2 linked regions of the Canis lupus familiaris genome follow. The protein of the gene in region 1 interacts with the protein of each later gene in a biochemical or structural test. Links are inferred from orthologs where the notes say so. Each region holds a gene or a part of one and is shown on either strand. Other genes may lie near its edges.

Region 1 (3,803 bases):
TCCCCAGCTCCCCCACCCGTTATTCTACCCCAGTAACCTAGTTTCTCTTCTTTAAACTACGTATCTCTATCCGAGGTGCTACTATTTGTTCATCTGTCAAGTCTCCTCCTCCCCTCCAACTGATCCCAAGTCCCATAAAAGATGTGTCCCCAATACCCAGAATGGTTACCAGTACCGAGTGGGGGCTCAAGAGCTAATTCTGAACAAATGGACGAGAAACAAGACTAAACTATGTACTCAAGACTCAATGGATGCATATGGACAAACAGGTGTTCAACTGAAGAGTGGAGTCGTATCTGGTGATGGCAGCTAAGGGGAGAGGAGAGGAAGGGGAAGCACGGCTTGGTGGCTGGGCCTTCTTCTTTGAAGGCAGAAAGGCACAGTCTGGTAGTATCAGGGGGGCGGGGTAGCAGGAGAACTCGGGACCCCACGTCTTGAGGAGTTGGGAAAAGTAAGGAAGTTCTGCTGGGTGGTCTTCAGGGGACAGCCACATGTCAGTACAGAAGCTAAGCAGAAGGGAACTGTTGAACATCAGAGTTAACTGTTTACAATAGGCCAAGGGTTCCAAGAGATGGGGCTAAGAGACAGTTACTTTGGAAGGAGCAAAGGTGGCTAATAAATCCAGCATGAAGTTTCTGTGTGGACTCAGGAAAGGGCGAGGAAGGCAGTGGAATCCCTTCCTCCCCAAGCCAGAATCCTCCCCTCCTGCCTGTACTTACCATCAGACGCCTCCGTCTCCTTCTTTGCAGCGTCCATGGCCTCCTCACGTTCTTCATCTTCTTCATCTTCCTCCTCCTCCTCCTCCTCCTTAAAAAAAAAAAAAGGACAAAAAATAGGGACTAACAAGTAAAGGACAATGGTCCTCCAGGAGGCACCGCTGCCTAGGCTCCAGCCCAGAGAGGAAGCAGCTATGGGGACGGGAACTCAGGAAGTAGGCTTCTGGCAGGGACTGGGCGTCATGGCCCCTCACCTTCTCGGAGGAGGACTCCTGGGAAGCCTCCTCCCCCTCACTGTCCAGAGCAAAGGACTTGCGGTGCTTGCCCTGGGTCTTGCTTCGCTCTTCGTCTCGCTTTGGGGGCTTGGTCCCCGGACGCCCGGGCTCTCCAGCCTCCTTGTCTCGCTCAGGGTCTAGACCCAGTGGAGTGGCAGTTAGGGCAATTTACCATCAGTAGTAACAGTTCCTGTTCCCCTGGCCTGAAAGGAGCTTTGCACCCACCACTGCTGATCTTCCCAACGGTCCAACAAGACAAACCTCATTTGACAGACAAGAAGGTGAAGTTCCACAGGAGAACACAAAAACCTCAGAGCTACCTAACAGTTCTATAGCTTGGCCACACTGCACCCGTGTAACCTTTTATCCTTCTCTGGGTTAGGTGGAAGAGAGAGCCTGCCCCAAGAAAACAGCACTAAGGCCCAAGGGTCTCTGGGGAAGCCAATCAGACTAAGAAGTTTCCTAGCCATGTAAGCCATCAACCAACAGCTCAGACTTAGACAAAAGTGGAAGGAAGGCTGGAGAAGAGCTTAAGCACTGGATGGGAAACCTGGGTAAGTGACCCGTTTAACCTTGAAACCCTAAGATCCTAGATGTTGAAATTAACCATTTCCACTTTCCATTGGAAAAATGAAATACAGGAAACTTCTATCAGCACACAGTGAGAACCACAACTAGGACTCAAGGATGACCCTCTCTTAAGCTCTTCATACTTCTCAGCACTTTACTTCAATCTCTCTACTTGGCTACTTGCCCCCAGACACCTTCCCCCTTTGTCCCTGCCTCCTGTATTCCTATCAGCAGCAGGCACCCTCTCCTGTCTCCTCCCACCTGACCCCTCACTCACCATCTTCATCTTCCTCAGCTGGAGTGGAAGGACGGGGCCTCTTTTCCTCACTGGCCTCTGAAATTTCCGAAGGCTCTTTTCGCTTTACCTGGGGTGTGGGAAGAGATAGGGCTGGTTTCGAACTCAAACGGTCACAGATCCCAACCACCTCTCCCCCAAGGAAGGGAGGTCCCCACCACACCCTCTCCTCCCTATGAGGCGAGACCAGCTCTGAGTACCTTGAAAGAAGGCAGCCGCAGGGCCCCTCGCAGCCCTGACCCAAAGGCGAAGGCCTCGATGCCTGTGGTACCCCCACTCTTGGCCCAGTCTACGAGGGACAGCAGGCCCGGCTCTTTGAGTTTTGTCTTCTCTTTATCCTCCTCCTTGGCTTGCTGTTTGGCTGCGTTCTGGAATGGCTGCAGGCAGTAGGGGGACTGAGCCCCAGAACCTAGGCGCTCCCTCCTGCCTCCTGCCTGAGAACTACTCCCAGGTCCCAAGAATACAGAAATGCATCTACTCACTCCTCTATTTGACACAGATCTATGCCACACCTCCCTTGCACCAGCCCCTGTACAGGCATTTTCTCCAAAGTCTGCTCATTCAGTCCACCCACCTTACAAAGCAGCTATCATTCCCACTCTACAAACGGAAATGTTGAAAATCCAAGCTCATTGAGACTTAAGGGCCATATAAGCCAGAAATCTACTCTCTCCAGCAAAGCCCCAAGAGTTCCTCAGTCCCAGGCATTGTCCCTCACCTTGGCCTTCTCTTCTTTGCTCTCCCACCACTGATCAAAGGCTCCAAAGGCCACATTCTCCACCATCTTGCGGTTGAGGTCTCGCTGCATGATGCTCTTCATCTCTTGGACGAGGGTGGCCAGCACACGCCCCACGGTGCCTGCTGATGGTAAGGCCTTGCCCTCTGCCAGCTCTGCTTCCTCCCTGGGAGGCAGCCGGGCCTCTTCTCCCGACACGGAGGAGGAGGGCAGGGGCTCAGCTGCTACAGGCAAAGGCAGGTGGTAGGCTTCCCGGGAGTATGCCCCCCGGCCTTCTTGCCCTTGTGTGTACAAAGCATAGGGTAGGCCATAGGCTGCCTCCTGGGGGGGTGGGAATGGGAGGAACGCCTCCCCAAAGGCGCCACCAGGGGGGCCAGCTGAGGCAGCAGTCAATCCCTTGCCCTGCCGCAGCTGGTGCAGTCGAGTTAACATCTGGGTTTGCATCTGGAAGGACATGGGCATCCCCCCCCACTGAGCCCCAAGTCGATCCATGAGCTCTAGGGAGTTCACAAAGTCATAAATGTGGGGGGGTGGCGGAGGAGGTGGGGGGTACTCGGGGGGAGGCGGCCCATCAGGGCGCGGTGGGAGGAGGTAGGCGGGCTGGTGGGGAGGATAAGCAAGGGGCAGGGAAGCCAGGTATGGAGGAGGAGGAGGGGGTGGAGGAGGAGGGGGTGGAGGCTGCTGGGGGGGTGTCGGGGCCGGAGGGGGTGAGCCGCCCCTGTCGTCATCGGAGATCTCCATGTCCTCTCCAGAAGAGCATGGAGAAGCCTGTAGGGATGCAGACGAGGGTCACAGAAAGCCTCTGTCTGCTCCAGGGCTTTCCCTCAAATACCCGCTCTCATGTCTAATTTCCTGACCCCCACCTCGGGCCCAGCCCTGCCTCCCGGAACCCGGTACCTCTGCCAGCTGACCCCAACCTCACCTGGTTCTGTCCGTTGGCCTTGGGAGACTCCCGGGGAGCCCCTGGTTCCCCACTTCCTGTGGGTGCCACATCCTCAAAATTAGCAGGGGCTGGAGGGGGTGTGCAGGGCCCGTGACCAGACCCAGGAGGTGCCTCGCTCCCTGTGTCTCTAGAACTAGGGCCTGTGGTGCTGCTCTCTTCCTCTTCCTCTGTGTCAGACGCCAGGAAAGAGAACTTGGAGCGCTGCTCCTTCAGCAACATCTCGATGCGGGAATCCAGGCTGCTATGTTGAGCGAAGGGCACGCTCTCG
Region 2 (4,501 bases), on another chromosome or scaffold:
CTAGGGGCAATTTTTTTTCCCTTCACATTACCACTTAAGATCATGGACTCGGAATCCCTGGGTGGCGCAGTGGTTTAGTGCCTGCCTTTGGCCCAGGGCGCAATCCTGGAGACCCGGGATCGAATCCCACATCGGGCTCCCAGTGCATGGAGCCTGCTTCTCCCTCTGCCTGTGTCTCTGCCTCTCTCTCTCTCTCTCTCTGTGACTATCATTTAAAAAAAAAAAAAAAGATCATGGACTCTTTAGGGTGTAAGACGTCTAATATTCAGAGAAGTGATCTGACCTCGGTCATATACTTGGTCACAAGGCCAAACTAGAACCCAGGTCACCTAACTACCAGGCCACACTCTTGCCACAGACCAAATGTCACAATTCACTGATAAGAGAAAATTTAAAAGAGCATGCCCTATACTATTATAGCAATGCTAAATTTTCTAATTTGGATAACGTGCTCTGGTTATATAAAAGAATGTCCTTTTGCTTAGGAAATCCATGTTGAAGTGTTTAGAGAGAAGGGGCTTGATACCTCCAATTTATTCTCTAATGGTTCAGAAAAAAATGCACACCTAAATATTTACATAGAGTGATAAAGCAAAAGGGGTAAAATGTAGCCAATTACTAGATGATATGGGAAATTTGAAATACTGTTTTAAGTTTTCTGTAAGTTTGTAATATGTAAAATTGCTACATGAGTAAATAAACTGCACTGTCATAAAATTAACATTTTACTTTTTTTTTTTTTTTTTTTTGGCATTTTACTTTTAACAAGACAGGACTTCCAAGTCATTGTCATTGCTTCCAACGAGTAGATATTATGCCACATTTGAAGACAACTAAGAAATGCTGTCACATGTCACAACCTTTATTTTCTTTGAATGAGAATATACATCTCCATCCTCAGGTTCCAGGAAGAGGTTCTAATCTGTGCACAAGCACTAAACATTAAGTCAGCCAGCTTCAAATTACTTTTAGCTTCAGAATCCAGCAACCCTGACACTCACTGCAGACTTATATGTTACTCTCTTCCAAGCTGATTCAAGTGGCCAGACCTGAACAGAAATCCATCTACTAAATGAATAATGGTCCAGCTAACAATTCTCTCTTTCCCCAGGACCACCACTTAGGCCAGTCTTCCATATACTGCAGGCAGATCCAGAACCAGTTACATAATACTTTTTCACAGCTCTCGTGGGGAAAAAAACTGGGGAGAAGATACAGCTTAAATCAAACCAGCATTACTTTAGATAACCAAATTCACAAATGAAGAGATAAGTTCCAAACGAAAGTTTATAGAAGGCACTGGTTTTAAAACAAAATAAAAGGCAAAAGGAAAGTGGGAGAATAGAAAACCTCAAGGACTCAAAAACTAAGATCTGCAACCAGGTAACAAAATGAAATCTGACAAAACCAGTAGCCACTGAATTAAACCAAATACCTGGAAACCTACTTGGGGAAGGTGGCTGAGGAAAGTAAAATCTAGCCTAAACCAGTTTCTGCTCCAAAGGAGCTCACAATTTAACAAGGAGAGAGCAAAGCAGGTCTACAAAGGGTAGGTGAAGCTGACAAGATGCCCAGAGAAAAGGGCAAAATGTGCTTTTAAGACTTTACAGAGATGGGGTGCAATGGATCTCCAGAGGACTTGGGGCAACACAAATTTCAGACCCTTAAAAAGTGTAATTTTTAAAAAAGTGTCTAAGAGGAAACATGAAATTGTTAGATTAGAATGTATTCTTTGTTTTCATAGCAGGTTCCCACTCAGGTCGGGATGGGACGGCCAAGTTCGTTTTTTTCCTGACAAAAAGGAAAAGTTTCTGATGTTGTTAAAAAGTTAACTACCACTAACTACATTAGTTAACTAAACGTGGGCATCGGGTCTGAGGGAGTAAGAGAATGATTTGGAACAGAAAGGAAAAGACAGGAGGCCCAAAGAGGCACAACAAATAAATCCTGACAGCTAAGAACTACGACCCACGCGGCCTTCCGGCAGAAGGCCGCGGGAAGCTGAGGGGCAGGGGATGGGCGGAGTGCCAGGGCTGAATCGAGGTCACCGAGGAGGGCAGAGCGAGCTGTGACGCTGCCGACTGAGGCAGGAGAGCAGCCTCTGCGGTTCTGCGCGGGGGTCGGAGCTGACCGGCACCTTTGACAGAGTCGGAGGAGCGGAAAAGCTGCCTGCCGGGGCCGAGGTGGGCGGACCGGGCGTTTAAAGGTCAAGGTCAAGGTGGGGTTTGGAGAGCGAGGCAGTAGCGTTTTTCCAGGAGGCCGAAGTCATACGAAATGATAAGGATATTATTTACCACTCTCATTTTTAAAAGAAAAGTAAAGGTCTCCCGGGCGGCTTCGGAGTGGAAGCGGCCCTGACAGCAGCGAGTGCAAAACAGGCCGGGGGAGGGCGGCGGGGCCGGGGGAGGGGACGGACAGCGGGATGAGCGCTGGGCCAAGAGAAGGAGGGAGGGAGGAACGGGCCGACGACACGCTCGGGCTCGGGCCCAGGGCCACCGCCGCACTCACTTGCCCTCCTGGCAGTCGTAGAGCACGATCGAGTCGTCGTCGCTGCTCGAGATGACCGTCTCGCCGTTGGGGCTGAAGTCGAAGCAGTTAATCTTGTCCGAGTTCTCGCGAAACACCTTGGCGACGCGGAAACTCCGCAGCACGCTGTCGGTCAGCTTCATGGCGGCGGCGGCTGGAGGAGGCGGCGGCGGCGGCGGCGGCGGCGCAGGGCTGGGGCGGGGCCCGGCGGCGAGCGGGCGGGCGGACTGACTGCCTGCCGAGGGGCCGACCCGGGCGGGGCGGGCGCCGCGCCGGCGGCGAGCGTAAGGGCAGCCGACAGTCGGCCCACCTCCTCCCCTTCCTCCTCCTGCACGTGCGACGCTCTTCGGGCCAGACTGCGGGGGCTCGCGGACCGTTCCTCCTCACGGTCGCCTCAGGGCCAACCGGCGCGACGCCGGCTCATTGTGTCCGCCATCTTGGGACGACAGGCAGAAGCCGAGGGCGAGGAGCCTTACCGCGGCGCACGCCGGGAAAGGGGGCGGGGCGGAGCGGGGGCGCGAGGCGGGCCGGTGGGGCGGTGACGTCAGTGCGGCCGCCCAGGAGCGGAGTGGAGTGGCGGGGTGCCCGAAGGCGGCGATTCTCTGGCGCGCAGTGGGGCCCGAGGGGCGCGGTTGTCCACCGCCTTCCCGCTGGGCCCGGAGGCAGCTGTGCCTGGGAGCCGTGAGCCTTTGCGCAGGATCGCAGTCCCCCTTAGAGGCTCCCCCTTCCCCAGGATCGCAGCCCCCCCTAGAGGCTCCCCCTTCCGCAGGCCACGGGGAGCAGGTACTGCGGGGGTCGGCTGCGCCACTGGAGGCCTGTTCTGGGGGTGAGTCAGTGGACCTATGGCTGGCGGGCTCTGACTGCTCGTGCACTACAGCGCCAGCATAGTTTCAGTTTCAGGTGGGTTGTTTGGTTTGGTTTGGTTTGGTTTTGTTTTGAGGTGTAATATACAGTAGCCTGCACAAAGTTTAAGTGCTTTTTTTAAAAATTTGGATATATACCTGTGTGACTCCTACCCAGAAGTTTTCTTTAAGCCTTCCTTAAAAACTTTTTAATTGACACATAACATGAAGTGCATAAAGTGAACGGATTTTAAGTGTACAGCTCCACACACTTGTAAGCACTTTTTAAGACATTTATAGCCTCAGAACTCATAGCATCAATTGCATGGAAATTTTTTAAATGGAGTTTTATCTCCTTATTCAACAAAATACAATTTTAAGTTCTCCAGATTTCCTCCTTTTTCGCATCTCTACGTGAACTTTATAAGTGCAACCATCTTTTTTTTCCTAGGTCAGTATTATATATTAAACATTTTTCCATGTTAGTAAACCGAATTGGCGGTGGTGTTCTTAATCGAGGTATCATTTATGTGCAGTAAAAAAAAAAACTGGCCTTTTAGGGACATCTAGGTGGCTCAGCAGTTGAGCGTCTGCCTTGGGCTCAGGGCGTGACCCCAAAGTTCCAGGATAAAGTCCCACATCGGGCTCCCTGCTTGGAGCCTGCTTCTCCCTCTCCCTCTGCCTAGGTCTCTCTGCCTCCCTTTCTCTGTGTCTCTCAAGAATAAATAAATAATCTTAAACAAACAAACAACCCTGACCTTTTAAATGGATAGATTTATAAGTTTTGACACCCATATTGAGTTGTGCAACCACCACCACATTCAAGATATAAAACAGTTACATAACCCTCTTTGTAGTCAATGGGGTTGTCTCAGTGGTTTGTTTAAGGATTCATTGCCTTAAAAGGAAGGAAAATTGGTCTCTAACAAAGGAAAGTGATATCTGATCACAAAAAAAGGTACCAGGCACCTTGGCTTTAACTTTCTATGCAAGGGGTCAAACTCAGTGCAACCTATGGGAGTTCATAGATCTCTAACTTGTGGGCAACTCTTCAAAGACTAATTGCCTGGGGTCTTTAACAATGGAGACAGGCCTGTTTATTTTGCTTCACTAAACTGCAGTGGCTAAAGAGG

Evidence for each region.
Region 2: the proteins of SETD1A (region 1) and WDR82 form a complex in vitro, tested with the Homo sapiens proteins (2 studies listed by BioGRID). The link is inferred for Canis lupus familiaris from reciprocal best matches to the Homo sapiens genes SETD1A and WDR82.

What each region holds. Positions count from the first base shown.
Region 1 is NC_049227.1:17,399,423-17,403,225, forward strand, and holds part of SETD1A (histone-lysine N-methyltransferase SETD1A), read right to left. Parts: coding exon 3,515-3,803; intron 3,361-3,514; coding exon 2,575-3,360; intron 2,234-2,574; coding exon 2,057-2,233; intron 1,927-2,056; coding exon 1,839-1,926; intron 1,129-1,838; coding exon 971-1,128; intron 808-970; coding exon 720-807; intron 1-719. UniProt on the Homo sapiens protein: Histone methyltransferase that catalyzes methyl group transfer from S-adenosyl-L-methionine to the epsilon-amino group of 'Lys-4' of histone H3 (H3K4) via a non-processive mechanism.
Region 2 is NC_049241.1:37,900,545-37,905,045, reverse strand, and holds the start of WDR82 (WD repeat-containing protein 82), read right to left. Parts: upstream 2,979-4,501; 5' UTR 2,670-2,978; coding exon 2,509-2,669; intron 2,184-2,508; exon of another isoform or gene 2,050-2,183; intron 1-2,049. UniProt on the Homo sapiens protein: Regulatory component of the SET1/COMPASS complex implicated in the tethering of this complex to transcriptional start sites of active genes.